Linked DNA regions of Lytechinus pictus. The protein of the gene in region 2 interacts with the protein of the main gene of each other region in a biochemical or structural test. Links are inferred from orthologs where the notes say so. Each region holds a gene or a part of one and is shown on either strand. Other genes may lie near its edges. The genes, in order: E3 ubiquitin-protein ligase CHIP-like and ataxin-3-like.

What was found.
Region 1: of the proteins of ataxin-3-like (region 2) and E3 ubiquitin-protein ligase CHIP-like, one has a biochemical effect on the other in vitro, tested with the Homo sapiens proteins (6 studies listed by BioGRID, with this or other methods). The link is inferred for Lytechinus pictus from reciprocal best matches to the Homo sapiens genes ATXN3 and STUB1.

Annotation. Positions count from the first base shown.
Region 1 is NC_087254.1:34,709,685-34,726,623, reverse strand, and holds the start of E3 ubiquitin-protein ligase CHIP-like, read right to left. Parts: upstream 7,997-16,939; 5' UTR 7,694-7,996; coding exon 7,592-7,693; intron 3,581-7,591; coding exon 3,382-3,580; intron 3,034-3,381; coding exon 2,868-3,033; intron 1-2,867. UniProt on the Homo sapiens protein: E3 ubiquitin-protein ligase which targets misfolded chaperone substrates towards proteasomal degradation.
Region 2 is NC_087251.1:48,002,846-48,019,164, reverse strand, and holds the start of ataxin-3-like, read right to left. Parts: upstream 7,048-16,319; 5' UTR 6,510-7,047; coding exon 6,486-6,509; intron 1,264-6,485; exon of another isoform or gene 1,135-1,263; intron 188-1,134; coding exon 139-187; intron 1-138. Other genes in the region: serine/threonine-protein kinase Nek2-like, read left to right, coding at 12,368-12,463, 16,090-16,307. UniProt on the Homo sapiens protein: Deubiquitinating enzyme involved in protein homeostasis maintenance, transcription, cytoskeleton regulation, myogenesis and degradation of misfolded chaperone substrates.

The DNA.
Region 1 (16,939 bases), on a different chromosome or scaffold from region 2:
TGCTAGTATAGTTGATCAGCACAAGATGTCACACTCAGTACAAATAAAAGCCTGTTAGCTTCAAATATTTGGTCTTTGTAGCACACCACTTGTCTTGGTGGTGAATATGAGTACTTGCTTGGATCACGAGATCTCTGGGCATTGTTAATAAGAGTACCAATGAGCATTTGCCCATACGAGCGACATGAAAGCCATTAATAAAGTCATGATAAAGGCTTAAAGTGTATATAGACATCTTTCTCAGATACAGGAATCGTGATTACACGTTCTTGCTGAATCCAGTTGCTGCCTTAGGATGAAGCATAAATTTTCTGTTCTTTCCTCTTTGATAAATCTCCTAAGGATGGCAACTATCTCCACATATTGTAGCTATAGTTTCTAAGCAAATCGTATGCAAATAATACCAATTTCCTGATATTTATGGCAAATAGAAATTCCTCAGTGGGACAATGAACAAACAAGTAGACTTTAACAGATGAAGGACTAAGCCACATTATTGCCTTTCCAACAAGTGGACACAACATAATGGAACACCCTTTACATCGCCATCAAATACCATCCAACATTGAATCAACAGTGTGTACCCATTCCAGGATTTATTTGCCACAATGTGTTACTCATGGGTATACTGTGAGGGTATGCAGAGGAATAAACCTTTCAGTAATTATGGTACGACTAAGGATGATCTTCTGGAGGAATGCTGACTTCAAGAGTGTCATGCAGATGTACTTTGGACAATCATACAACTCTCTGTACTGAAACCGACAAGTCGAGCATAGGAGATTGAATGCCAATCAAGAGGACTTTGACAAGAACCAAAGCGTTACCCATGTCTTCTTCCGACACAAGTTGCCTCAATGAGACACTGGACATAAGTTGTGTCGGGAGAAGACAAAGAGTTTTATAGGAAGGCTAGGAAAGCTTGCGCATGTTAGAGCTCCAAAAGCATCAGTAAGGTAAAGCTCAGAATTGCTACAATGCATTGAAGAGGACCATAAAAGGGTTTGCAGACAAGCCTATAATACGTTATTTGTTGACTGGATTGACAATGATCCAGGCTGTAACAATTAGCATGTTGGGAGCCCTTGATATCATGTGCTATGACTACATTGGAATAGCATTATTAAAGGCAAAAGATTTTTTGTCTTAGTATTTACCACTGATCATGATGATGATGACGCTAGCTGCTCTACAAGTCCTGGGACCCAGTCCTGACCCAGACATGGCCAGATAACATAATCCTTAGTCAAGCAGGTGTAGCCAAACTACTGAAGAAGTTGTTAAAGAAACCAACCTGCATGAAGCTACTATGCCAGATGGAATCTCTGCTACACTTCTTAATGAGACTACTCATCAGATCTTACCTGCCATAAGTTTGCCTTTTTTGGCCTCCCTCTTTAAACGGTGAAATTTCAAGAAAGTCTTTGTTGTTCCCGTCCATACAAGAAAGGGTTGTCAATTCTTACAAACTACACACCAATTCAAATACTGTGCTTTGTTCTTGCCAATCCCATCATCTTGTCAGACTAACAACATGGCTTTAGGAAGCAGAGAACATATTTCCAGTATTTTTCCTTTAATATATAAATTATATTAGTATAAATTTGCATGCATATTAATTTGAACAACTGAAATGTTTTCACTGCAATCAATGTGAGAAAAATAAAAATTTGACATTTTCCACTTATTTGCATAATATGCTAATGAGGCAGATTTGCTAGCTTTTTCAAAATAAAAACATAGTCTAACTTATTTATTCATCATAAAGTTTTGTTCAAATTACTTGCTGTGGACATTTAATTTGTAATCTTGGGATTATTTTCCTTATTTTTTATTTTTTAATGGCTAATTTGCATAATATGCATGTGTAGTGGAATATCCAGTGTTGCAATTAGTGGCGGGTTACCCCCCCCCTAATCTGGCTAGATTGACTGGACTATACTACCACTACTACTACTAATACTACTAATTCTACGACTACATCTACTACTACCATTACCACTACTACCACTACCACTACCACTACCACTACCACCACCACCACCACCACCACCACCACAACCACCACCACCACTACTACTACTACTACTGGGTTTATACCACATTAAATCAATATAAAAAGTGCTGCTAAAGGGACATTATAATAAAGACTTATACATGTTCATGTATGTATCCATATTACAGAGGGTGAGTTTATAGTTTCAGATAAAACTGGTAGAAGTTTTGGAAAAAAAAAAAGACAATTTTAGGTGAATGAAAAAAACCATCCCATCCCCACCAAAAATAAAAATAGAAAAATAAAATAGAGGGGTATTCAGAAAAGCCGAGGACCTTTTCAACGGAAACTGACTTGTGGACAGGTAAAAATAAAGAATCATGGAAAAAAAACAAAATAAGCCCAGAACAAGAGAAAGAGTGGAAGACGGAAGATATTGAAACAAGAGAAGAAAGATCTTAAAAGCAATAGTAAGGCAGACGCCAGAAGAAGACAGGTGATTAATAATACTGTAAAAGAGTACCGAAGTGCGACTTCATCAATTTTCACTTTAAGCATATTAACGTTTTCGATACCATATTTTGGTAGAGCATGATGAAAAACCCCCACAACCCAAATTTGGTGGGAATCGGTCCATGGGGCCCCCAAGATATGACCTCATGAAAGAAACCAGGCCAATAATACATTGACTTCAATGGGGCTAATTATGTATTCATGAGGTCATATCTCAGGCCCCCATGGACCGATTCCAACCAAATTTTGGCAGTGGGGGTTTTTCATCGTGCTCTACCAAATATGGTATCAAAAACTCTGAAATTGTAAAAGTTTTTTGTGATGTCATCACTTTGGTACTCTATAAAACTAAAGTTACCTTTGTTTATCTTCTTCCATGAGGTTCATAAGATGTGTCTGCAGTTCAATCTCTTGTGCAATTCTCTTTTCTTCTAGGATATTCCATCTCTTTTTCTTTGCTGATCTTAGTGCAGCAGCTATGTCATCCCCAAAATTCACTTTCTGTTCTCTGGCAAGGTCATGTGCTATATGAGGAATATAAACATCAATTGATAGCTGGACTTGGCAAATCAGCCAGCTCAAGTCTTGCAGAGGACATGGCAAGCAAATACTTATGATAGTTTGAATATCCAACTTGTAAAACACAGGATCAAGTTTGCAACTAAGAGACATGGTCATGGATAATTCTATATTCATCATAGTACACACCCTCAGGAAACCTACAGCATCACTGCTTTTCATCCTATGAGTTGGTTTGAGATAAGATTTTTGTTTTCATATAAAGTTCACTTCATCCACTTAATACAGTTTTGAGATTATGGGGGAAACACTTTGCATTCATTATATATCTTAGCAAGAATACATAAACATACCTCTGCGAAAGCTTGTGATGGCCTCATCGTATCTCTCCTCTTCAACTAGAGTGTGTCCCAGGAAGAAATGTGCCTTGATGTTGGAGGGATCAAGTTCTAAAGCGTGTCGACAGTCATCCGCACCATGATCCCAATGTCTCAGCTTTATCTGACACAGTGCTCGATTGGTAAAGAACTTGGGATCCGATGGGTTTTTCATCTAGAAATAATACAAGACATGTAGAAACTATAAATATCACTGAAGGTGATTAATACCCTTACCACATCAAGAACCTTACATGTATAAGTATAGCATTTTCCCCTATTGCCAAAATAAGTTGTTACCATGACAATGCAGTAACCAATACATCTGAAGAATGTGTCATGCACGTCATCATGCCAAGCCTTATGATCACCATCCTTTTGGGTCTGAAAATAGACTAGGGGAGACAACACACAAGGAAAAGGAATTTAAAATGAAGAGAAAATATTTTTCTTTAAAGAAGAAAGAAATCAATATTTGTAGGCCTCTACAAAAAAAAAATCATCACTTGCCCTGTCGGGCAAGTGATAAAAAAATTTGCTTGCCCGATAGAAAAAACTGCTTGCCCGATTTTTTTTCGAAAATTATTTTGCTCTTAATTATTCTTTTCTGTCCTGGCTGAAGTTGATTTACTGGTGCTGCCTTTGGCATTTCTTTTTCTTGACTCTTGTTCAAGTTGTTCTGGTTGCCAATCACGACGACAAAAGTGGCCTATTTTAGTCTGACGACTCATTGTTTATTTGGTTTGAAGTTGAAGCCGAGTCCTGGCCAGGGTGACCGGATTTCACAAAATGAAATACAGGACAATCGACAAAAAAAAAGATCAAGAAAGAAGGCTACACAGTGTTAGACTTGTGAAAAAAATATACAGAATTGGAAGGGAGGGTGAAGGAGAGAAAGAAAAGAGATGAATTGAGAAGAAAGAAAAAATGAAGGGGAAAATGAAGGAAATAATAAAAAATATAAGAAAGCTCTAATAAAAGAAGGATGAGAGATTCATTCTTTGAATTGAATATAGAAAGAAAAAAAGAAAAGAAAAGAAGGGAAGATTAATAAATGTGTGAAAGTCAAAATAAAGAAGAGAAAAACAAAAAGAAAGTAAGAAAAAAATAAAAGAAAAGAAGGGAAGATTAATAAATGTGTGAAAGTCAAAATAAAGAAGAGAAAGACAAAAAGAAAGTAAGAAAAAAAGAGGAGGAAAGAAAGAATGAAGGAAAGAAAATGTTTCCTTCATTCTTGGAAGAAAGAAACAAAGAAAGAAGAAAACAGGAAGGAAGGAAGGAAGGAGGGAAGGAATGAAGGAAGAAAGGGAAAGAAAGTATAAGGGAAAAGAATAAGAAGGGCAAAATGAAATAAATAATGAAAGAAAGAAAGGAGGAAAGAGAGGGAGGAAAGAATGAAGGGAGGCCATAATGAAAAAAAAGAAGAAAATAATGGAAGGAGAGAAAGAACGAAAATAAAAACGAGTGGAAGGGAGAAGGATCAAATGAAGGAAATAAAAAAGGAAATGTATTAAGAAGGCAAGTAGGAGAAAGAAGGAAAGAAATAAAATGAACAGAGAGAGAAAGGAACAGGAAATAAAAATAGATATGTAACAAAAAAGGGCAAGAAGGAAGGATAGAAAAGAAAGAAAGAGGAAAAAGTTCAAACTTCAAGCAAATAAAAACAATCCAATCATATTTTATAACAAAAATCCTAATGATATTTGGTGTTTTTTTATATATATTTTTAAAATTAAAAAAAAACTAAAATGTTTTAGAAATGAATAAAATACGGGACGTCTGGTCACCCTGATCCTGGCCGAGTCAGTCCGAAGCTTGCATGCATTCAGCGCGATCTAGCTCGAGAGTCGACTGGCTCGCGATCGCTTGTGTACGTCCATAGTACATGTAGAGCATGCGCTCAGAGGGCGAGAGAGGGGTTTCCCCAGCTAGCTCCTTCGTCGATTAGTAGCGCATGCGCACAGTGTAGTTTAGAAAGTAAGATGGCAGCACCCATCGAACGGGACCGCTGGCGATAAAATGTCGGTAAATTGGCGCTGATTTGACATGTTTCCACTGTTTTTTTACTGGTATGACATTGTATGAGAGATAATTGATGGATAATTGCAATTTATCAAAAATTATTAAACTTTACTGTCAATTTATCTTTTTCATTTTCAAAACAAGCACTTGCCCGATCGGGCAATTGACTTTGAAAAATGCTTGCCCACACGTCAATTTCACTTGCCCTGGGCAAGCGGGCAAGCAGGTTTGTCGCGCCCTGATTTGAATCTTTTTTAAATAATTTTTTTTTCAAAGAAAATAAACTTGAAAAATATCTATGATGGCGAATATAGTCAAATTGACTGGTTGCCAAATACAAAGACCCCCCCTTACAACTGGTCAACGATCTACATGTAATTTGAAAGAAATCACAATTTGCTTATTTTTTAAAAGTACATGTATGAATGAAAAGAATCTTTTCATTTAAGTTTCAAAGTAACTATGGGAATACTAAATCAAAATTTTGGAAAAATGGAAGGCATTATATTTCAGTCAAGACCAAACTGATTTCAAATATCAGCCAATCGTGTGATTGTTATGACAATGTTACTATTGAATTTTCATAAATTATTCTAATAAGGAGTGTAGTATAGTCACAGATTTTGAACAATTTACGCATTCCTTCAATGATTTAGAACTTTCCACAGTATTAGATGTTCCATGTCTCAATATTCTCATCAAATGCAATTTTCATTTAAAGGAGAATGAAACCCTTGAAACCAGCTGAATCCGTATCAAAGAGAAAAATCAAAGAAATATATTGTTGAAAGTTTGAGGAAGATCGAATGAATAATAAGAAAGTTATGAGCATTTGAATGTCGAGATCACTAATGCCATGTAGATCCTCCTATTGGCAATGCGACCAAGATCTGTAATGTCACACACGTACAACTCCCTCATTACTTTAGTACTTATTTCACTTATATTCTCACTTTTATAGAGTCTATCACAAGGTGAGGTGTTCTCTTTATGAGAGGACAAGTACAGAGGTTTCACAACATTATATCATTGATGAATCGTTTGTCATATGATTAGAATGAGCAAAAAGAGATGTTTTGGGGTATATTTTCAGTGTCCAAAAGGGGAGAGTTGTTCATCTGTGACATCATAGATCTTGGTCGCATTGCCAATGGGAGGATCTCCATAGCATTAGTGATCTCGACATTCAAATGCTCATAACTCTTCTATTGCTAGTCCTATTTTACTCAAACTTTTGTTGATCTTATTCTTTGATTTTTCTGCTTTCACAAAAGCTAACTCGCTCCAAGAGTTTCATTCTCCTTTAAACATTGGGTTGCAGACCAATCATAAGGTGTGCGGTGGCCTTTTAAAAGGCATTGTGTATTTACAGCAGTGATCGCCAGACCGAGCCGCGATATCGGACTTGTTTTTGTTTTTAGGAAGTTGCGAGAGATCCCAGAGCACATGAGAGCAAATTGCTCGCAAATCTTGTTTATTTTTTTCGCTTTTCAGCAGCCATAAAAATTGTTAATATCAAGAAAATTGATGCAGCAATCAAAAAGGGAAGCAGGCGCAGACGAGAAACATCACTTTTTTATATTTTTTAGCAAATTTTTGAAAATAGTAAAAAGTAATATATTTCATGCGGTGGCCAAAAAAGATGCGCGCGAGGACGATCAACTACTTTCTTTTTTTACTTGGACTTAACTTAGTTTGGATAAACCAGGGAAGTGAGAGTTGCGCGACAGCCGAAGTAAGTCCCTTTTTTCCCCCCTTTTAAATTATTTTTCCCCGTTTTGGTGCATTTCAGGCGAAAACGGAATGACGTTTATTTTGGTCCAGTTCTTTTCATATTGACTATTGTTATTAAAGACAAAAATCGATGAGCCCCGTCGGCGTCGGGGGGATTTTGCATTGTTAACCCCCTAATCATGCTAATGGCAGCTGCACGATCGCGAGCCGTCTGTGTACGAGGAGAATTTTTTTTAATGTAAATAGAGTCCTCGAAACGGACGGCTGCCAGCTGTCTGGTATGCCGTATGGTTTTCACCCAAATATCTTCATGACCTTGCTAAATTACTTACACAAATGTTTATGAGTGGGACTAGAGTAAGCAAAGCTCGTACATTGTAAGCAATATTTGTGATTATTTATGCATTCAAAGGCTAAATATCATACTCACTATGGCCTTGTTATAGCATCCAATGGCCTCTTCATATTTGCGTGATCCATAAAAGCGATTCCCCTGTTCCTTTAGTTCCGTAGCATTCATCTTTATGTTCATCTTCTTTCACAAATGTCAGTTTTCGATCACCAGCACGCGTACCTACAGTGCTAGTGCGCTTAGATTTTCTTCTCTGTAGTGTAATTCTGTCAACATCGACAATTGATGACAGTTATATCGGCTATCAATCAATCATTGCTCTCGATATGTATCTCTGTCCATAGAATATAGGTCTAAAATACTTTATGCATTATTTCAATCTTCTAGGGGCTAAGTTAAGTGGTATAGCGCTCTGCGCTGAATCACATTTGGATTATTCTCGATCATTATCTGATTCTGACGTAATCGAATCTGCAGCAGCGCAAGAAAGGGGGGGGGGGGCTATAATATAAAACTACTGGCCTTTTCGTTTCTCATTTGTTTTTATTATATTGTCAAGGCACTGCGTGTAAACAATAAATTAACTTAAAGGTAAATCAAGATATATCATAGGCACAGATTTTATAACTACATGTATATAGGCCTACACTGCATGAGCAATATTTTTTTCTTTTAAAAGGGGACTTTCCATATGCAATGATGCGCCCTACATGTTTTTATAGCCTGTAATTGTGTTTCTTTTCTTTCTTAACTTTGAATGTGCTTATATATTGTGGGTCGCGTCAGTGGGTCTATATCAACTTTATTACGTACCATCTCTGACTCATCTTTGCAAAGTGGTCTTTGAACCCACCAGTTGAATTAACTAAAAATATGTACATTCCCCTCCCTTCCCCAGACGTCTGGGATGGAATCAGTGGCGGCAACAGTATTTTTAAACCGTTTGGGGGGGGGGTGCGAGTCGGGGGTAAAGGACTTTTTTTTCCGGGGAGACAAAGGCGGACACAATTTTTTTTCGGCTCCGGCGCGCCCTAAATTTTGTACCGGTATATATACTGACCTGAAAAGGGACACGTTAAGGCCTATTTGCAGTGACTCCTCCTGTATTCTACAATTTGTTGATCAAGTTTTTGCTTCGAAGGCTATTGTTGACTATTATTTACAAAAAAGAGGCGTGTGTACTGTGCCTTAAGACTACAAAAAGCATTTGATTTAGTTGATGGGCAATCTTTGTGGTTAGAATGACGAAATCAGAGGTAAATGGACTGAAAAGTATTAAATGTTGTATATGCAAAATCATGTGTCTGTAAACATGTCAGACTTTTATAGTTGTAATATCGGCGTAAGACAAGGTGAAAATCTTTCATCTTTATTGATTTTCAGGAACATATATCTCTAGATTTTATCCAGGCTTGAACTTTGCTATCTGAGGATCTCTGTAATGTCCTACAAGATGAGGATTTGGAATATTTTCTAAATTATTTTGTATTTTATATGCTGATGAAACAGTCATTTTGGCAGAAACCCCTGATGAGTTGCAGTCAGCATTGAACTCAGTTCACGATTATTGCAGAAAATGTCACTTCAACTTTGACTGTAAATACTTCTAAAACCAAAATAGTCATTTTTTCTGGGGGTAAAGTTAGGAAGGGCCTATTTCACTTTTAATAATGAGCCGATTGAAGTCGTTTATGATTTTTTTTTACTTGGGGATAAAATAAATAATTGTACCTTAAAAAAAAACGAGTCACACAGGCGAGAAGAACATTATCATTGTTAGCTAAAGCCCCCCCCCCCCAAAAAAAAAAATGCAATTGTCAGTTGATATTCAGTGTCATTTATTTGACCATCTGATTTTACCAATCCTGTTGTATGGGAGCGAAATATGGGGTTATGAAGACATAAGCCAGATTGAAGTGTTACACAGAAAGTTTCTTAGGACAATATTATTTGTAAACAAGTGCACACTATGGTGTATGGGGAGACAGGACGGGGTTGATTCTGAATCATTATAAATGTAGAGTAATTGGCTTCTGGTTGAGAATTTTAAAATGACATGAGAACAAATATTCAAGTGTGATACTGAAATTTATGTTTAGGTTAGATGAGCTAACAGATTATAACTGTAGCTCCTTGGCAGGGGCGTAACAGGGGTTGGTGGCCAGGGGGGGGGGGGGGGCAAGAGTCAAACATTTCCCGGTCATATCATGGTGTTTTGAGGCGACAATTTTGAGAGGGCCAGATATTGCGTATCGGGCATAATTTATCCTTTTTTTTAAGTTGCTAGCGATTGAAGCGAGCGAGCAAAAATTGTGACATATTTAATTCAAAAATCAAATTTTGTGATAGATTTTGACATAATATATTTCACCCTTCTCTCTTTCATTCCCTTTTTGGTCTGTACGCCACTGTGAACATGATTCTTTGCGGCAGTATAGCGTGAAAGTAAAAAATAGAAACGAGGGGCGCAGTATGGCGCATGTGCTAAAAAGCTTCTTAATATACGTCCCGAGCGAGCGAAGCGAGCGAGAAAAAAAAATCACCTTTTCATGAGAATCTAACTTTGAGATATTTTTTGACATTATATTCAATAAATAAAATCATATCCTACACGTTTCCTTTGCTTTTCTTTCCTCTTTTTTTTTGTTCTTGGTTGTAGAACTTTTGGGGACCATGACCCAACCCTGCCATAATCATATACGTCAGTACTATGCGGTTGGGGACCAGGGTGGAGCCCCCGGAACTTCTTGTTATCAAAGCCATTTTAAACCTCGCAGATTGCCGCTATTTTTAATCAAATCGCGGGTATATACAGAATATAGCTTTTACATAACACATTTACTCATCCCACTGCAGTTGCGTAATGAATCAAATATTTTGAGGGGGCACAATATAGCAACGCGGGAAAAACGCGAGCATAGCGAGCTGGAAAAAAATGTTTATCGAAATTAAAATACTAATCATGTGACAGATTTTTCCATTATATTCAGCAAATAACACATTTCATTTTTTCCATTCGTTCCGTTACGTTGTCTCCTATAATTTCTTGTATTTCCTCTTGGGTGTGGAAACAAGAACCCCCCCCCCCCGCCTGTACGCCAGTGATGGAACGTAAAGCTTAATGTAGGAAGGATCCTTCCAGGGGTGTTATATATAGAGCCATTTGAAGGTTATACATGAAGAGTCCCTACGTACTGCGTGGGGTCTGGAGCAGAGCCCGGTAGCTTATTTTCATAAAATTTAGCAAGCCTATAGCACAATGTTGTATCAGTCCATCTTTCTTCCCGCTCTTTATTTTCAATCCTCGGTAGCCCGGTCGTGTTATTAAGTTCTTTTTTTTGTCCCTATTCTTCGTTTTCCAATTTAGCTTTTGGCTAATTCCATTCTACCTTCATTTCCAGCTATTGTTTGCCGTTTTGTCATCTTTTAATTTATTTCCCTTTCTTACTAATCATACTGGTGCATTACACAGGCCCATTTTGTAATGATTTGTTCTTTCTCAAATGTTCTTCTTTCGTTTATTTTCCCGCTTTCCTTTTTTTTCCATTAATTCTTTTTTCTTCGTTTTCTTGTCACTTGTCACTTTTTCCTTTCCCTTTCCTTTTCCCCTTTCCTTCCCCTTTCCTTTTCCTTTTCCCTCTCTTTTCTCCTTTTCCCGATGAAATCCGCCAGGGGGCGGCAGCTTGCCCCCCGCCTGTTACGCCACTGCTCCTTGGCTAAAATTCATTGAAAATACATTGAATCGATAGTATCGACCGCACAGAAACGTTGTTAGTGCTAACAGAGCACTAACCGGCACTGTTAGCGAGGTTTTGCCCGCACAGAAGCATAATGTTAGCCCAATCACTAGCTAGCGCTGTTAGACTAACATTACAAGGTCGCACAGAAGCTAACATTAGCGCTAATGTTTGAACTATTCACTAACAGTGCCAAGGGCACCGATAGTGACAATGTTAGTGAATATCTATTGCGTGTCTTGCATAAAACTTGTATATCAAGTGCTTTAAAATAGACCTAGATAGAATTAAAAGGGTACTCCAGTCCAGGGGCGGATCCAGTTTCTTCCAAAAGGGGCCCGGAAAGGGGGAGGAGGGCACATTTTCCCGAGAAAGAGTATGACAAGCAAAAAAAAAGTTTACGTCTAAAATTGAAGATATTGTTGTCCCAACAAAAACTGACATGCAAAAAAGGGTCTTTTATTGCTTCAAAGGGGGGGGGGGGGGGCACACTTGGGTAAAAATGGCTGGCATGTTTATATTAAAAATTTTGATTACTGCTTTGGATCCGCCAATGCTCCAATCCCCAATACGTGTGGGAGAAAACAGAATGAAATTAGATGAGAAGGCTGTAATTACAATCAATAACATAATTCTTAAATGGAAAATAATGAAGAATAATAAATAAAATATGAATTGAATGAAGTGAATACTGTACAGTATTTTTGAAAACATTGATGCCTATCATGCCACCATGAATATCCTAGAATAGAATTACGAAGCCAAGTCCGATTTTCTTATTTCATGATTAATATTACTGTTGTTATTACCTTGTTTCCCCCCATTATGTACATGTTGTGATTATGATTGTGATTGCAAAACCAATATAAGTCATATCCCCTTTTCCTGATTTGACCGTGAACTGGTAAATTTATGTTTCAACACTACACGTAGGCCTATGTAAAACTTGTAAATGGTCATGATGATTACTGAAGCAGTGGTCATATTTACTTTCAACTGTAAGGACAAATTCAGTTTAAATGAACACGATTTCATATACAAACATGGACCTATGAAGAGATGGACATCCATCGCTTAGATAATGAATTCACTAACAGGTGACTGTAATTGTCATCTGAATAACATTCTCTTCATACTAGTCTTCTTTGGTCCTATGATGGTCACCGTGAGAAGGGACTGAAGCAGTTAGTGATTGGACATTTATATTTCACAAATTATATGCGCAGTTGATAACAAATCAATGAAATAATGGAAAATTGATGTGCAGTTTTTGTTAACCTTTGGTAATCTTAGTTCCATGTGTTTTATTTGGGGAAATGTCCGCATATTTTAATATAGAGGCAACATTGTGATTGATTGTTTACCATTTAAAATTCAATTTTCCCAAGTTTCTCCATAATATTCCAGATATACGTGGCACACAACATTTATAGATCGTGTATCTCTCAGTGTTATTGAGGTCCTTATGTCTGAGCGGTAGTTAGCGGATCGAATAATATCATATTTTATATCATAAAAATCGTCTGCTCCTCAAGTTTGCTGCTCCATTATTATGAAGCATGTTGACTGAAAGGCAAATGCTGAAACAGGGTATCTGCCAACAAAAATCAGGACCGGGAAACTGTTCCGTATTTGAGTGATCAGATACCCTTGGTAGTCATGGTAATTGCTAATGTAACAACACCTGTATGTTCTCATTAAGATGCACATAACCAGATGACGGTGACTATCATTGGATCAAAGAAATACTCGCGTTAATCGTCCATCTTTTTCATTGGTCCATGATAAAAATTATGAAGTGGGGAAATGACAAATGGCATCATCAGCTCGCCTATATAGTAAATATAATATGTAATATAATTTTTACGTAAGTTATGCAAAACTATATCACATATTTTTAAATGCCTTTTTTATTTGATTAATGTTCAATTGTTTGTATGACTATACTTCACATCCTGCTTCCCTATATACACCTCCATAGACGGAAGTCATTCTTCCACTCTACGAGCAAACATATACAGCCCCCTTCCCCTATCAAACAGTTATTGACTTTTGCCGTTAATATATAATTTTTTCATCGATGTTAAGGTCTATGTATTATGTTAAAACATGGACCTACTATGGTTAAAATAATCAGAATTCAGTAATTAACACCGCGGTACAATGTCATCACAAAGTTAGAATTAATGGTGCAAATCCGAACCCTGGGTTAATGGGAATAATACATTGAGCCTATGGGATAAAGGCCCTTATATTGTATCAATCCACACATAGATCACTATAGTACGTCATAGATTTTGCCTAACTATAAGGCTCAAACCCACTATCAACACCTGTGCTTAACAGCGCTTTCTGTGCGTTCATTCTGCTCATGGTGTTAGTGGCTGATTTGTTAGTGACTTGTTAGCACTAACAACACCTTCACTAACAGTGTTTCTGTGCGGTCGCTACAGGCCTATCAGATTTCTGGCTTGATCAATTCAATGGCTCGAGTGTTACAAGAATTGTCATGAATATTATCAAATCCAGGGTACAATATATTTTTGCCCAGAATCGTATTCGAAAAATTACAGAATATTTAAAAGTAACCATGAATATGAAAAAAAATATTTACAGTGCTTAAATAAGGAAGACGTTATTACACTTTCTAAATTCAGATGTAGATCACGTACACTACCTGTTACCAAAGGTCGTTCCAATGCTCACATCCCATGCTAATTCTGAAATGCAGTGTATACTTTGCCATTCTTCTGACTTAGGAGACGAATATCACTACCGGGTATCACTATTAATTGTTTGTTTGTCCTTTTTTTCACAAATAGAGAAGTTGATTGTTAACACAGAGTATACGCCGTGCATCGAAGTGTTCTGGTCATGGAAAAGCTTTTTAATACTAAAAAAGTGGGCGTCCTAAAAAAATAGCTAAAGTTGCTCACCTCATTACGTTGGAATTAAGTCAAAAATCAAAGAAAGATGATTGTAATGTTAATTCATGTAGTAGATCAGTTCGTACCCGAAGTGGTAGGTTAGTGAAACGACTTGTTCGTTTTCTTGTGTAAATAGATTGTATAATGTATTACTAGTACATTATATTGATATGAAGTTATAACTGTTTGCAAATATCTATATTTTGTTATATGTTGTTTATATGTTGTACTCTGAGTCTCATACCCCGAGAGGAGGTCGATAGAGTGAATAAAATCTACTTAAATCACGAAAATGATATCATAATCTCACCGAAATCAACGCGAAGCACAACTAAAAATTGTTGATATTAATCATTATGAGATGATAACTGGACGTTCTAGGCCTAAGCACTTGGCCATGAACTGAATGGGTGTATAGCTCAACAATTTTGATGCATAAGCGGAGTGCGAGCTAATTTTTTTTTAGATATTCAGCACATTTTTCTTTTTAAATTTTGAACATTTAGGATGCGTATCTCACAAAAAAATGGAAAAAAAAATAAAAACTCAAATAGCGAGAATATTTTGTTGGCTTGAAAATTTGATTTATAGCCCCATTCATATCCTATTGGACTTCTATCCCATGGAAAGACACATTAACCCGTTCCTCACAACATAGTCATACTTCGCACCTTTCCTTTCGTGTGCATCATCGAGTTTAGTATCAAATGGGATTGTTTACCAGTGATAACTGTTCTCTTCTTTACTTAAAACGACTGAATTGGGAGCAGACCCAGCAGCGGAGTAATGAACCCCCCCAAAATATGAATAAATAAAATAAAAAATTAATTAATTAAAAAAGATGGGCACAACATGTCGCGTGTACGTGACGAAATCACTTAAAAGTGCAAAGGAGTTTAAGCGGGCGAGCCAAATAAAAAAAATGCAAATCTTATTTTCTGATTGATTTTTAACCAAAAATATTCAGAAAATAACATTTTATCCTTTTCCTCGTATTTTTTTCTTTTATCCCTTTAAGGGGGGATGGGTTCATGGAATTTTTTTATCCTTTTCTTTTTCTCTTAATTGCTACCCCATCTCTTTTCCTTTTTCCAGCGCTAATAGGGGGGGGGGGGGTTGTAGGAGGGGCCTCTTCGTACTCTGGATCCGTCTATGCCCCTCCTCCAATAAGATAGGGCCTATATGATAAATGAAATTTATTTGACTGGGCAACAGTATAATTATGTAGACATGGCAACGTATTTATCTGACCAAGTTGACTTAACAATTAACATAAGTTGCTCCTAACATTTTATAATGATGCCAAATCACACGATTAGTAAGACTGCAAGATAAGTCGACTTGGTAAGATTAAACATTTTCGCCATAATCATGATAATGACAAGTGAAACTTAAAAGCTTCCATAGTTTCGGATGTGGGGGGAGGGGGTTAACATATTACATTTAGTTTCAGCTGTTGATACAAAACCAAGCTTCTTCGGCGATTAGGAACTAAAATCTAATCACCTCCGAAATGATAGACTTTATGTTTTTAACATTTTATCCATTGTACTTATTCACTTACCATTTCTATTTTCCCATGGAAATAATAAATAAAAAAGACAATAATAACGTGTAAGGAATATTTCGACTTTGCTTGGAATTTGAGTAAAACACTATAAACTCAAGTCATCTCTCCGAATTACAAACTCGAACTAAAATTTTGTTTTATGGATGGACCTAATTCTCGCTTTGCAGATATTACGTTACCACACATTCATGAAGTTGGCAAACATTTGGATGTATGTGGGTCAAATTTCAAAAAAATTGACTTTTTGAAGAAAAAGTAATATTCACAAAACTATATCACGTTTCCCCCTTTTCCTTCCCTTTTCTCTCTTTTTCTTGGTCGTGAACATTTGGGGTCCATTAACCAAAGCCGCCACCCCAGTTATTACTGCATGATCACATTAAACTATGTACGAGCGAAACACATCGGATTAGTGATCTAGTTGGCATATCGTCCGACTCTCAAATTTGACAATAATTCCCATGAATCAAAACTTTCATTCAAGATGAGGCTACAAGGGCTAATGGTTACACGGATATCCTGGCCATGATCCTCGTAACTTCACCCCTTTTCTTTTCATTTTCTTGTAGGATAGATTTTCAAGAAGTAGGTTTCCCATTTCAAAGATCATCCGTCGCTAGTTTCTCGCCCGATCCATGTAATTAACCTTAGGCAGAAATCGGGCTAGATGATAATTATGAATGTCATATAAGGAAAGTAGCCTGGAAAGAGGGGTGGAGAGAGAGGGAGAGAAAACAAAAGATCGATGAGGGGAGAGGAGAAGGGGAAATGAAGAGAAGGGGAGAGAGGGGGAGTAAGGGGAGAGCAGGGATGGATCAATTACTTTTTTTTTCTTGCTGTGATGATGATGTTGATGATGATGATTATGTTGATGATGATGACGACGATGACGACGACAATAATGATGATGATGATGACGGCAGTGATGACGGGGATGATGATGACGACGATGGGCTATCAAGTGGGTAATCCCAACCCTCCCTATTTTGTTGTTATGATATGAGAAATCAGAGACGTCGCTTGACATTCTAGCTGTAGGAAATTTGAGAAAAAAAAGAAGAAATTTAACAAACTTTCGTACAATAGGCATAGTAGGCTTTAATACATGCGTGTGAATTAAACTCAAGTGTCGTCTAACGTCCCATTTCATTGTATTTTTTCAGCCGTTATAAATTCATATTTGTCTTCTCAA
Region 2 (16,319 bases):
TATTGAAATCATGAAATCTTGTTTTGAAATATTGAGGCACTAGGAAGTACCGATGTAAATTTGACAGTGCCCCCCCCCCCCCGAGTATTAGGGTAAGAATTATAAATAATGATAAAAATTGAATCATTCTTATCTCACCTTGTAATAATGAATTCAGACAATGTTGGGCACATAGAGAGCCCTCTTGCTGTAAGAAATGAAAGGGGGGTAAAACTGTTAATAGATTAAATAGAATACACAAAAAAATACATCACATGATTACTTTTTATCCTTTTCGTTACAATAATCATGTTCCAGAGTGTAGTGGTTTCACGGTACATCATCATATGTATTCCTTTGTGGGCATATGTTGGTCTGAATCCAAAGTCACAAAATGGCAAAAGAAAGACCAATGAAAATGAGATGGGATCAATCTCTTTTTTTTTTATTTTGTCAGGACCATGAAAGAATACATGGTGTACCGTCACACCGTGAAACCACTACACTCTTCTTCGTCGCCATGGAAACCTTCATTTAAATCATGTTCTAACTTAAGACTTTATTCCATTGTGTTGTGTAGCATGTATTCTTAGCACAGATAGTTGGTTGCAGACTGCAAAGTACTCTCCCTAGTTATCATATGCTTGGACAGCTCATCTGTCTGAATAAGACGGAGGTTTCCCTAAGATGGTCCAAACGTTTCTGATGCCCTGACCCAACGTTCTGCGGGGATGATAAAAAAGCATCTGAAAAGCATATAATAAAACATAACCCCTTTCCTACCTGAAAAAGGTGTTTTCTATGGCCCAAAAATATGTTGAAAAAGTCTGTTGAAAAAGTAGACTTGATTCTAAAAAGTATGGTAGATACGATTGATACCAAACAATACAAAAAAGATTAAATAAATCATAACATACAACGGCAAAAAAACTTATGAAAATGTACAAAACTAAAAGAAAAAATTAGAATGATGGGGGGAAACCCATTAAAATTGAAGCAAAATGAGCTCCATTTATCTTTTAAAATCGCAAACATGAATTCCATTAAAGAATAGAAACATGGCTTATTTTTATGAATATAGGCCTACATCATACAAAAGTCACGGAAATAAAAAGACTCAATGCAGTGTCCAAAATCAACAAAGTACATATTTACACTGTAGGATATCAGGATCAGACATCAGAAAACAGCATACAATGTAAAATACAAACAGCTTGTGTGTCTCTCAACACTTCATGTACACATGATGTACATGTAGTCAGCTTCAAGTTCAACCTGTGCAGTGAGCACTTGTTCACTGGAGCATGTACATGTAGCATTCCTCTTTATAAAGTTCAATAGACCTGTACATTTCTTTTGTTCCTGTCCAGACAAAAACTTTTTAAACATTCAGAACATTTCTTGCTCCTGACTAATTTGCATTTAAAAGAAACCAAAACCCAAATGAAAGATTCAAGCTGAGAAGAAATAAAAATGAGAGGACCTGTCTGGAGACGTACTTGCATGGTTGAGCAAATACATTTTCAGATAGTAGGAAAATACTTACCAGAAAATATATTTACATGTAACTTTCCCAAAAATAATTTACAAGTTTAGCAGCTTTACAGTATTACATACCATTGACTAATTTTTCCACTTTTTTTAACATGACTACTAACATGAAACCGTTTAATTGTATTTCCTTTATATCAAAGTTATTTGTCTTGTCCATCATGACCAAAAATATCATAGCTCTGTAATTTATTTCCTATCATAAGCATACGTTTCCATGTACTTTGTAGGAGACCATGCTAAACATTTAAAAAGGTGTACGTGTATCATTGAAATAATAAAAGAAAGAATAAACGGAAGGAAGGAAAGATAATTTTAAAGACAAGGAGAGAATTAAAAAAGGGAGAAAGGCGGAAATAAACAAAGAAAGGAAGGAAGGAAGGAAAGAAAGATTCTTTTGGTTATGTTTTCAATGAAATACATGTTTTAGTGAAAATATAGATCTAGCCTAGCCTAGGCATATTTTAAACAAGTGGAACGCCTCTGGCAGTCTCGCCTGCATTACGCAATGTAATATAGCAGCAGTGCTAACTTTGAAAACTACTATAAAATAATCATTCACAAAAACATCATTCATATAATGACATAATACCACGTTCATTGACCATAAATGACATTTGAACAGAGACTTAAGACTGTCAACTACACCCATGTCCACATTTCATTCACTCTATCCATAAACTTTCAAAGTTATGATGGCACTTCAACAATTACCTCAACATGGCCTAAGTTTATTGACCTTAACTGACCTTTGACTTGGTTTTGTGACCTGAAACTCAGGCAGGATGTTCACTAATACTTGATTAACCTTATGTCCAAGTTTCATGGACTAGATCCATAAATTTTCAAAGTTATGATAGTAATTCAACAAATACCCCCTACTTGACCAAAGTTCATTGACCCTAAATGACCTTTGACCTTGATCACGTGATGACCTGAAACTCGACCAGGATGTTCACTAATACTTGATTAACCTTATGTCCAAGTTTCATGGACTAGGTCCATAAATTTTCAAAGTTATGATAGTAATTCAACAAATACCCCCTACTTGACCAAAGTTCATTGACCCTAAATGACCTTTGACCTTGATCACGTGACCTGAAACTCGACCAGGATGTTCACTAATACTTGATTAACCTTATGCTCAAGTTTTATGAACTAGGTCCATATAATTTCTAAGTTATGATGTCATTTCAAAAACTTAACCTTCGGTTAAGATTTTGAAAATAATTTTCCCAACATGGTCTAAGTTCATTGACCCTAAATGACCTTTGACCTTGGTCATGTGACCTGAAACTCAGGCAGGATGTTCAGTAATACTTGATCAACCTTATGTCCAAGTTTCATGAACTAGGTCCATATACTTTCTAAGTTATGATGTCATTTCAAAAACTTAACCTTAGGTTAAGATTTGATGTTGACGCCGCCGCCGCCGCCGTCGGAAAAGCGGCGCCTATAGTCTCGCTCTGCTATGCAGGCGAGACAAAAATGGTTAGAATAGGCTAGAATGTTTTAGATATGTTTAGAAACGGGCCCTTGTCGACATATTTACTTCAAAGTGTCCCGTAATTTGACTGCCCTGATCTGGTCACCTTACGCTGGACATACGCCTGGGGCCCGTTTCTCAACACCGTCATAAGTCTAACTTCTTGACTAAATCGGAGATAGTGAGCTACTTGTCCGCTAACCGTTTCACGAAGCCCTCTTTACCAAGATCGGGTACAACAACCTCACTAAATATTTATGACACCTCCGAACCTGTCGTAACTTCTTTCTTAATGACGTAGTGGCATCACGTGGGTAGACTATGACATGCGAAAGTGCCTAGAAATTTATAAATTATAATCTTACGTAATCAATCATATAGGTTGAAATTACATCACAAAACAAGTGGGTTGATGCATTCAATGATAATTGTAATACAAAGAAACTATAAAAACTGTTGGTAAACGCCACAAAACCATTCATTTTGAAATAGTAAAATGATTTAATCGATAAAGATTCTACCACGTCAGGCCATCCATAACTGAACTCGTATTTGTTGTTTTCAGACCCCTATTAACAGTTGGATGAATTCTATCACTAATTTCTGCATATAATTTGTCTAATATCGTATCTTTCGGTATCAATGATTAAAAATGTTTCGTTAAAATATATTTTGATGACGTTTGGAATCGTAAAAGTCCGTATAATTATCATCATTTTGCAAAGAAAACCGTTATGGTTTACTTTCGTAAACTATTAAAATTGGGTCTTTCGGGGGTACCCATCTCAACGTCCACAAGTGATTTTTTAGTCATGAAATGAATTATTCATAATTTAATTTTCTCTGCAATTGAATGCTCCAGTCTTCATGGTTTAAGTATGTATGATGCATAATTCACCTTAGACAGGAATAACCGTCGTTTCTGGGGATTTATTCAACAATTTCTGACATTTTACTGTAATCCCCATTTACCGACGGTAGGGTGTACGTGTGGGCTCGCATGTGTTCTCATTCCCTCCCTTTTGTCAATTCACAGTCCAAAGTTTGATGTAATTTTACACATCGAATTTACAATCTAAGGATGTATAAACAACAAACTTTTAAAACTTAATATTTAAATGTTTGAATACTTTAAACGATATAGATGAAAAAGGCATGAAAAATATACTTTACCGATGTTTAATTGGGTTGAACACGATAAAAATGGTCAAAATGGCAGCCAAACTATAAAATATTTACAAACGAACGTCAACAATCACGAATGTGATATCGATATTGCTTTCGATATTATACGATCTGCTCCATATGCGAACGAAACCGAAGATAAACGATACTAGTTATACTAGTACTAGTACTAGTTATAATCGCGATATATCGATTCGAGACATTAAGTTAATAACGATAATTACGTCATTCAAGATGGCAACTTGCAAGAAAAACCGTCAGGTCAGGTGAAAATGTCTTAGATGACAGATTTCTCAATCATCCAGAGGATTTTTTTCAATAACTCCGGCCCAAGGTATGCAATTACTTAAATTATTTATATTTCCCTGATAATGGAAACCATGAAACTTTCAATTTTGCTTAAAAAACAGTTTTAAATCGCGATCTATAAAACGCTAGTTCACTATACGTTGGCTGTAGGTACGGGGCCCCATCCCCTTCAGTCTATGTATGGTGAGTGGAGCCAACGTAGTTCAGCGGAACAACCAAAATACAGAGACTGAAGCTTTTGGTCTAAATTCACCTGTGCTACTATTTTGAAAAGACTTATTTCCCAATTCATCATAATATTTGCAATTATGTCATAATTTTTCTTTTTGAAAATTATGCTATTTTGTGACTAAGGCTACGTCTCGTCTGCTCTTTTTACCGATAGTATCGATATCAAGGTATTCTAGTTAGGAAGCCTTTCGAGAAACAGGTTTAGTAAGATTGGAACTAACTCCGTGGTTGGTGGATAAAGATATGACTAACTTGTCCATTTGTTGAGAAACGGGCCCCTGGAGTCTAACGTAGGCCTAGGCTAGAGACTTTATTGACTTTGAGGTGTCTTTCCGAGGAGTCTTTGTATGATTGGGTGCCCAAACTTCACTTCAAAGCGAAAGACAAAGAAATCAAGATGGCGACGTAAACACCGCCGTAAGCTCTTCCCGTCTTTTCATAACATTTTTCTCGTTTTTTTAATGAATTCTTGTTTAAAAATGAAATCAATATCGTAGAAATGTCGAAAATGAAGTTGTACCCCATGTACATGATTTAGGGCTAGGCCTAGATCTTTTAGAGGGATAGTAGAAATCTCGGGGGCGAAAGTTTCACTTTCAGGTTTTGGGACGGTATTTGTACTGTAGGAGTGTAGCCATATGGGAAGCAATTCCAGGCTCCATGGGGAGTAAGCCTTCGTATAGTAGACTGATTTTTACTCTCCAGGAGCCTCCAGGCTAAATAAGTAAGTCTACGTTGAGTAGAAAGACTTTTACTCCCAAGAAGCCTCCAGGGCCAGGGCAGGCTAATCGAGACCGAGGCTATTATATATTTTGTTTTTTTTTTAGGTTCCAGTCTGTGCCTCAATGTCAGGATTTGTGTGTCTCGATAGACCTGACCTTCATCCATATAATCGTGGTAAATGCATAATTTCTGCTTCCATATTTTATTAAGATTACTATTGAGTCCCCAATCTAACCGATTGTCTCCCTCGTTTTGCACGGTCGCGGGCCGGAGCTCCCTGGGCTGGCGCTGGGTTTATACTTTACTACTAGTTTTATACTACTAGGCCCTAGGCTAGGGTCGATATAACCCAGAGAGCTCCAGCCCGCGTAGCGGGCTGGAGCCCAGACGCTCAGTGTGCAAACGGGCATTCAGGTGAGAGTACCGTGAAGTTTGGTCAAAATAATTTTGATAATACATAATTAAAACAGAAATTAAGCACTTACCACGATTGTATGGATGATAGTCTAACGAGTGGCAGTTTCCTGACATCGAGGCACAGACTGGAACCTCAAAAAACGATCAGTTCTGTCGCGGTAGCTCTCCTCTTTCAGAATTCAACACAAAATGGCCGATCGAGGGCTAGTATAGCACTAGCGCATATAGACTTTGTCAAATTCGCGCATGCGCCCTACACCCTCTCGAACGGCCATTTTGCTATGAATTTTGAAAGAAGGAGAGCCACCGCGACAGAACTGATCGTTTTTTGAGGTTCCAGTCTGTGCCTCGATGTCAGGAAACTGCCACTCGTTAGACTATCATCCATACAATCGTGGTAAGTGCTTAATTTCTGTTTTAATTATGTATTATCAAAATTATTTTGACCAAACTTCACGGTACTCTCACCTGAATGCCCGTTTGCACACTGAGCGTCTGGGCTCCAGCCCGCTACGCGGGCTGGAGCTCTCTGGGTTAGGGTCGATAGAGTTTAATAAAAAATTAAAATCTTATCTTATCTTTCTAACAAAAACTAATTCGGTACCTTTTCATGGAAGATAGAATCCATCCTCAGCTCGGCCTCGTCTGGCTTAAGACTCGACTCCTATTCGTCCTAGTGATAGAGTTGACAGATCCCTATTCCTAGTAGATCTAGCCTAGATCTAAATTAAATCTAGCAGCTCATCTCTCGAGCTCTCTCATGTAGCTAGACGTGAAGTTAGTTATTACGGACTAGCAGCTCGCTACAAGACGCTGCGCCACCGCACTTCATCAGCGCCGCACGCCGGCAGCTCCCCGGCGCGGAATTGGAAAGGTAGCTTGAGAAACCCCAGCCGTGGTGCCGGTGCTGCTGTGCGAGTTCCGTGGGTAATATTTTTATTTGTAGGCGAGTTGCCATCCGTAAAGTCAACGACGCGATTATGCTTTGCGTTGCTGTTGAAAAGATCTATACCTCTGTAATGATTTACATTTTTATATCAATTCGAATTTATACGACACAGACCGCGACCGCTCTTTTCCATGCTTTTGATATACCGGGTACTCTCATTTAATTCGCTTACTGTTTTTTTATACTCTTTGCTTTTTCTCCCTACTCTGTGTTCAACAGACGTATAGGGCCTACTTGAAAAATCATTAGCTAGCTACGGTTCGTATTTAGCTTGCCCCGGTGCCCCTAGCCAGGCGCGGATCCAGGGGGGGGGGGGGCACGTGCCCCCCCCCCCCCCCCCTTTGAGAAGCAAAATTAAAAATTTGTCATGTAAAAGTGCTATGGTGTGCCCCCTCTTTTGAATTTTTTATTTTTTATTTTTTTTTGCTTGTCAAATTGATCGGGTACGAAATATCCTTAATTTGTAGTTGAAAACCTTTTTTTTGGGGGGGGGGGGCGCGGGCTTGTCAAAAAAAAAATTTCCCAAAAAAAAATTTGTCTCCCCATTTTGGAAAATCCTGGATCCGCCCCTGCCCCTAGCTTCCCGCCGCCCCGAAGCTATTATGATAATGATGGGTGATGGTGACGACGATGATGATGATGGTGATGATGATGATGATGATGATGATATGATGATGAGGATGATATGATGATGATGATGATATGATGATGAGGATGATATGATGATGATGATGATGATGATATGATGATGATGTGATGATGATGATTAGATTTATTTATTTTCCGTTCAACAAAATACAAGAATAGTTTCATACGTATACATTCATTAGGGGGCGGACTGGACGAGCTTATAAACAAACACTATAGAACATCAGTGCAGTGACAGATCCATGGGGGGCGTTTCCGTGCCGACGTGCCCCCCCCCCCCTTGAGAGTCATATAGTCAATATTTTCAATGTGTCGTTCATGTACAAGTGTGCCCCACCCCCTTGCGGTCACAGCAAATATTTTTCATGGAAATATGTCGTTCATACACAAGTGATCAGGGCTTCTTTTGTTTGCTTGTCAAAGTGTAAGCAGGAAATAATGACTTTCAAATTTTAGTGACAACCTTTTTTTGTTGTTGTTTTATTTTTTTTTTGCTTGTCAAATTTTAATTCCTTTGAAAAATGTGCCCCCTCCCCTTGGAAAATACTGGATTAGCCCTTAGCAAATAAGCGATACGCGACTACAAAATTAAGAGAAAATAATATTCAAACTTAATAGTAAATAATAAAATTATAAAAGTGAGGTAAAGGGAGGCAGAGGAAGGAGGGAAGGAGGCCGGGATGGTGCAAGTAAAACTGAAAGTTAAAAGAGGAATATCAGTGCATGCACACTGTCTCTGGGCAAGTTGTATCACTCTGTGACTAAATTTTATTGATATTTAGTTCAACGTTAAAGGACAAGTCCACCACAACAAAATGTGGATTTGAATAAAAAGAGAAAAATCCAACAAGCACAACACTGAAAATTACATCAAAATCAGATGTAAAATAAAAAAAGCCTTATGACATTTTTAAGTTTCGCCCATAAATTTCACAAAATATTTATATGCACATCCCGGTTGGTATGCAAATGAGGGAACTGATGACATCACTCGCTCACTCATTTTCTTTTGTATTTTATTATATGAAATATGAAACATTGTAGATCTATTTTTTGTCCTCATTGTCCTGTGAAACAAAGTTTTCTTTCGCCCTGATCGAACACGTGGAATTGCCATTTTTTTACATTTCATGGTTCAGTAAAGTTGGTCTTTATTGTCAAATGACTCAAATCTGTAAATTTAGCAATATTGTACAATTCAAACAATAAAAGACAAAAGAAATAGTGAGTGAGGGACATTGTCGAGTCTTTCATTTACATATGACTAAATCTGTGCATGTAACTATTTTGTGAAAATAAGCGAAAATTTAAAATGTCATAACTTTCTTATTTTACATCTGATTTTGATGAAAATTTCAGCATCATGCTTGTCTGATTTTTCTCTATTGATTCAAATCAACATTTTTCTGAGGTGGACTTAACCTTTAAAGTAATTGTACTTTAATGACGAGGGGGATGAGGCATGATGGTGATGATGATGTGACGATGACGATGATGATGATGATGTAGATGGTGATATCATGACGGGTGACGATGATGAAAAAGATGAAGATGATAATGACTGATGACGATAAGATGGTTATGACGATGGTCCATTTTCCACTTACTTTTCAACTCCGCTTCGAGCTTCTCCCCCCCCCCCCCACTCTCGTCGTTGAAATTGAACTGATCATCTAGCTCATGTATGTTCTGAAAGATCACACTCGCATAGTAGTATACTAATTCACTACTTAAAGGGGAAGTTCGGGGAAATTTATTATAAAAATAGCATTTAAAAAAATTGTTGAAGGTTTTAGGAAATCCATCAAAGATTACAAGTTATTTATCATTTAACCAACGCTCATATCGAAAAGAATCTAAACGTAATATTGAATTAATGAAGCAAGACTTATTACTTGAGGGGTGGGAGGATGTCTATAATGAAACTGACGCAAACACATCGTATAATCTCCTAAATAATAAATTACAACATTATTATGAAAAGAATATTCCCATAGGAAAGGTAAAAAATAATCGAAAAACACCCAAACAACCCTGGATAACAAAAGGTTTATTAAAATCGATACAGACACGTAATTGCCTTTACAAGTCACATTTACGCAATCCTACTGAAGCCAATTTAAAAAAATACAAAGTATATCGCAACAAGTTAACAAAATTAATTCGTTTATCACGTAAAATGTATTATACTAATAGAATAAAAGATGCCAGTTCAAATACTTATACTACCTGGAAAATCATCAAAGAAGTAATGGGAACAAATGCAGATCCCCCACCTACCGATAATATCACTTTAAATGGTACCAAAGTTGACTCTTCCCTTCACGCAAACTCATTCAATTCATTTTTCACAAATATCGGACCCGAACTTGCAAGCAAGATCAATAGCCAAAATGCGCATTTCACGGATTATCTCCCCGAACCTAATCCACATTCATTTTTCTTGAACCCTACGAACCCCACAGAAATTCTCAACATTACAAGGTCTCTTAATAGCTCAAAATCTCATGGGCATGATAAAATTAGTATGTCTCTTTTAAAAGAAATAATTCACCCGCTTGCAAACCCTCTTAGTCATGTTTTTAATAAATCTCTATCACAAGGTATATTTCCTGACTTATTCAAAATCGCCAAAGTCAATCCAATTTTTAAAAAAGACAATCCTCATGAAATAAGCAATTATCGCCCTATATCTCTACTCCCTAGTATATCCAAAATCCTCGAGAAAATAGTATATAATAGACTTTATGAATTTATCAACAAACACAATTTATTAATTTCTAATCAATATGGCTTCAGAAAAAATTATTCAACAAACTTGGCTTTAATTCAAATTTACGATAAAATAACAAACGCCATAGCTAACAAAGAGCATGTCATTGGTATATTTTGTGACCTCAGTAAGGCGTTCGATACACTTAATCATAATATTTTACTTTCAAAACTTAATTATTATGGTATACGAGGTCAATCACTCCTTTGGTTTAAAGATTATTTAATAAATCGAAAACAATATGTCACATTTAATGGCAACGATTCTAGTTCACTTTCAGTTCAATGTGGTGTCCCTCAAGGCTCCATTCTAGGCCCGCTTTTATTTTTATTATATGTCAATGATATTATCAACACATCTTCTATTTTATCATTTGTATTATTTGCTGACGACACAAATATCTTTTTTTCTCATAAAAATATAACTTCCCTAAATAACATATTAAATCTTGAATTGATTAAAGTTTCACAGTGGTTTAAAGCAAACGAACTATCCTTGAACTAAAAAAAGACCCACTTCATCCATTTTAAACATTCTCATATTACCGATACTCCAATTCACTTACAGATTGACGGTACACCATTAGAGCGGAAGACTCACTCTAGATTTTTAGGCGTCATCATAGATCAAGCTTTGTCTTGGAATGAACATCTGCACCATATCATTATATGTATCTCGAGAAATATTGGAATAATTTCCAAGTTGAAATTTATTTTACCTCATAAAACTTTACTTCTATTGTATAATTCGTTAATACTCCCGTATATAACATATTGTAACGTTGTTTGGGCTAATTGTGGTTCCACAAAACTTACTTCTATTTCTAAATTACAAAAAAGAGCAATTCGCATTTGTACAGGATCGCATTATTTGGCTCACACCGATCCTTTATTTTTTAAACAAAAGACATTAAAAATTGCCGACTTATATACTATTCAAATAGCTATAATTATGTTTAAATATATTAACAATCTGCTCCCTTCGTCTTTTGATAACATGTTTAAATTTAATAGTTCTGTCCATACTTACCCAACGCGCATATCCGGAAACTTTCATCTCTCTAACCCCAGACTGTTAATTGCCTCTAAATCAATTCGACATCATGGTCCAGACATTTGGAATGATCTTCCAAACAATATTAAAACTTGTTCTACCATATACTCATTAAAAGCCACTCTAAAGAAAACTATCATTCAATCTTATCAACCCCTCGCTCCAAATTAAAACATTCACTCAAATATCCACATTCGCTATTTAACATTCTGATTTTACTCAACTGCTATACAGCACCTGCACCTGCAATGCACCCACTTGACCAGTAAATATCAATCTAAGTCACGAATCTTTTTATGAGGCCGCCATCAATTCAAGCCTAACCGCTCACGATGGTGGTCTCCTGCGTTCATTTATTACATTATATATATATGTTTACATTTATAAAAGATTAATTTATACTCACACTCTTATTTGTATTTATCATGTAATATGACTACATTGTTTATATTGTGAATTATTTTGTATATTGTAATTGTAAATATTTTTGTATTGTGTTTTTGAACGCAGAAATAAATGCAAGCAAACAAGCAAACAAACTTTTATTTACATGCATAAGCTTCCCCATATTTTTTGTAAAAAAACAATGGCTTGTCACTTTCATTTTTTTTGGTCACCTTTAGTATATCAATATAGACAATAATTATTTCACAAGGCCGCTCCTAAAAGAAAAAAAAAAGTTTAATCATCATGAACCATTAAAAGATTGAAATTAAAAAAATACGGGGCAGCTGCTCGTATATGACGTAAAAATCTAAAACTTAAAATTCTTATGACTTTCTTAATTTTTTTATGGATTTCCATCAAACCTTCACCAATATATATTTTTTTCTGGTACAAAGTTCTCTTCCCAAATTGTGCTCCACTTATCAAATTGGCCACGCATTATTTGCTACCAATAATAGGCTGCTCACTTCGCAAGCTTACCCAATCAAAAACAATGTCAATCAGCTGGCGTGAATTCAAAATATTGTGCGTGCATGATATTTCATGATCGACAACCTTAACCACGGACGACCATCGACCACACATTTTTTTACAATCGTGGCATTCAAACGCCAAGATGCCTTCAAAATTGAGCGATTATGATATTCTTTATACGATCGGGAGTGGCTCTTACGGGAAATGCAGAAAAGTACGTCGGAAAAGCGACGGAAAGGTAAGTAAACTTTTTTATTCTCGGCTCGAGCCGAGGCTCGGCTTCTAAGTTCTTGCTTGCGCCTTGCGCTTGGCGGGCATTTAAATAGTGTGTGGTGGGGAGGATACCGGTATGGTACTAGGCTACCTGCGGCGGGACGATCGCGAGCGAGCCTGCGATGCGGCGAAGGTCGCTTAGCTCTGGCTGCACTGACTAGACAACATTGTTGTCTCTAAAATACTCGGTATGTGTGGGCCTATGGCATCTCGTCTCAGGCTTCATGGAGAGTAAGCCTACGTACAGTATAGACAGGAATAACCGTCGTTTCTGGGGATTTATTCAACAATTTCTGACATTTTACTGTAATCCCCATTTATGATTTACCACTCTAGGCGACACCGCAATACTTACCCGTGCTAATAAAGTGGGACTCCGCTCACGCGCGTTTGGGCCTCCCTAGCTTAGAACTAAGCAATATTATCTAGAAATTGTTACATTGTAGTCATTAAGTATGTTCTATTAAATAAATTGATAATGTTTAATCGGTACTCACCGGTTCTTTTGTTGCATTTTCAGACCATTTCTCACAATTCTTCGTAAATATTTGCGGCAAATTTTGTCGCCATAGACAGCCTTAGCATCCATCTTTATTGATAAATGGAGCGCCCTTTACGATAGTTGTTAATGCCGCGGAGAAATCGTTAGGCATTTTGGCCTGTGTTCAAGGCGTTCTTTCTGTTTTATTTTTTATATTGAAGATTGTGCATTTGTTGAATAGCGCCGTCTACGTCAGGTATGAGATCGAGTGTATAAATACACTCTTCCAAAATAATTATGATTCCGACCTGGCGCTGTTTAACTTCAATCTCTTTCACCTAAATTAGCGATGAATGCTAGCATTATAAAATATATATTATTAACGTCTGACGAAAAGAATAACCAACCGATCAGCTGACGAGAACGCGAATCACGTGATCTTCATATCAGCTTCGATCGCGAGTCAGAAGAGAAGAGCAGCTGCCCAGAAAATCAGGAAAAAGCCGTGAAAATGTAAGTTCCCCTTCATTTCTTTCATTTTTTGTTGTTGCTAACGATGCATTTACACTCTAAAATTATAATTTAAATAAGAGAAAGGAATATAGCTTGCACTTGTGATATAATATATAAATATCCTGTTCTCAGAGATTTCTAACCAAAAATACTACTGATGTCGCCTATGAGGTCCATACATGTAATGTTGGACCTCATTGGTACTAGGAGTGCCATTTACCTACGGTAGGGTGTACGTGTGGGCTCGCATGTGTTCTCATTCCCTCCCTTTTGTCAATTCACAGTCCAAAGTTTGATGTAATTTTACACATCGAATTTACAATCTAAGGATGTATAAACAACAAACTTTTAGACCTTGATATTCTAACATTTAAATACTTTAAACGATATAGATGAAAAAGGCATGAAAAATATACTTTACCGATGTTTAATTGGGTTGAACACGATAAAAATGGTCAAACACGATAAAAATGGTCAAAATGGCAGCCAAACTATAAAATATTTACAAACGAACGTCAACAATCACGAATGTGATATCGATATTGCTTTCGATATTATACGATCTGCTCCATATGCGAACGAAACCGAAGATAAACGATACTAGTTATACTAGTACTAGTACTAGTTATAATCGCGATATATCGATTCGAGACATTAAGTTAATACGATAATGACGTCATTCAAGATGGCAACTTGCAAGAAAAACCGTCAGGTCAGGTGAAAATGTCTTAGATGACAGATTTCTCAATCATCCAGAGGATTTTTTTCAATAACTCCGGCCCAAGGTATGCAATTACTTAAGTTATTTATATTTCCCTGATAATGGAAACCATGAAACTTTCAATTTTGCTTAAAAAACAGTTTTAAATCGCGATCTATAAAACGCTAGTTCACTATACGTTGGCTGTAGGTACGGGGCCCCATCCCCTTCAGTCTATGTATGGTGAGTGGAGCCAACGTAGTTCAGCGGAACAACCAAAATACAGAGACTGAAGCTTTTGGTCTACGTACAGTAGTACTTTTACTCTCCAGAAGCTTCCAGGCTACTCTGCACTGACCCGAAAACCTGGGCCCTGGCTTATTATTATGTCTTTAAGTTTTGATCAAGACAGTTACAAAAATATTCATCAGGGCTGATAAATTATTCACATTTTAGTACATACCAAGTGAATAACTGGCAAATTGCATTAATTGCCAGCAACGAGCAAGATCGGAAAGATTATTGATGAAAATGTGATTGCAATTGGCAATTGATTGACATGTCATATCATGCCATGATTGTTGCTTGAGAAATTGAGCCAGGGACAGGGCGATTTCAAACTTCTATTTACTCTATACCGATCAACGAGTGAGCAGTGTCTTGGAAAACTGTTAGTGTTAGTAGGATGGGGGGTCGGGTGTCCGGACACTTTATATTTTTGAAGCCTTCTTTTTTGTCTTTGTATTACACTAAAATATGAATTCAATACTTGTAATCATCTTCTATTTTGTTCTTTATAATATTTCCTAACATTTTGTACTAAAAAATTACGAAACTTCGCTTGTAAATTCTTCCAAATGACTTTCTAAAATTGATCGTCCGGACACACAACCTGTCCGGACACGCAACAACTGGGTATACTGTCTGTAGTGTGTTCTATCTTCGCGGACAAAGACCATGAAGACACACTGAGTGACACAAGTTTTGCTGAGATTTAAACAAAAAGTCGAGCTCAGAAGCCTTTATTATTCAGATGGACAGCAAAATCTTTTACTCACATTTTGAAGTTATCTGATATCTGCTTGCAAAATTATTATTTGCTGATGCTTGTTGAGAAGTTCAGATTTTTTTTTAATGGGCACTAGCTAAGTAAGGAAAAGGTTGGGTGAAAAATTTGCTGATAGTTTGTCATTATTATCATTCATTCATGAATACTGATCTGATCTCATCCTGAAGAAATTATGTTGATATGGTAAGTGTAGGTTTTAGTTTTAAAAACAAAGAAATACATAAGAAAAAACAATAAAATACATAAGAAATTAATTATATATATTTTTTAAATTGTAGATATTGTTAGAAATTGATACTCCCACCAAAAATTAGCAATCTACTATAGCTATACAAATTGAGATAAAGGCAAAAACATGTACACAAAAAAACAAATTTAGGGCAAATTTCGTGTTATTTGCATAATAATTCATTAAAAAATACAAATTAATTTTTTGAAAATTTTACTAAATAGTCTTGTAGTTTACATCTGGCTCTACGTGCGTGCAAATGTTTGCAGCGATCAGTGGCCGAGATCTGAGGGGGGGTCAAATTGACCTGCCCCCAGTATATACTGGTCTGAAATAGCCCAGTTAAGATAGGGTTAAAGAACAGGAGATGTGGATGGATCTCTTGTTGGATCTCATGTACCAGAATGAAGGTACTGTAAGTCTACAAGAGAAATTAGAAACGGCAAACTGGCCCTCAGTTTCGTGTCCTTGGATTATAAAATTGCATCAAAGAGTAAATTTCAAAAAAAGGTGTGATATTTTTATGTCTCAAACTAAAGTCAACACTGCTTCTATATTTATAAGTCTGTAATAAGTCTTACGTTTTTCTCATGTTTTAGATCCTTGTTTCCAAAGAAATTGACTATGGGACCATGGGCGAGGCGGAGAAACAGATGCTTGTGTCAGAGGTCAACTTGCTGAGGGAGCTTAAACACGAGTTCATCGTTCGCTACTATGACAGGATTGTAGACCGTTCAACATCTACCATCTACATCATTATGGAGTATTGTGAAGGAGGTGATCTAGGCAGTCTCATATCAAAATGCAAGAAAGACAGGTATCTGGTCAT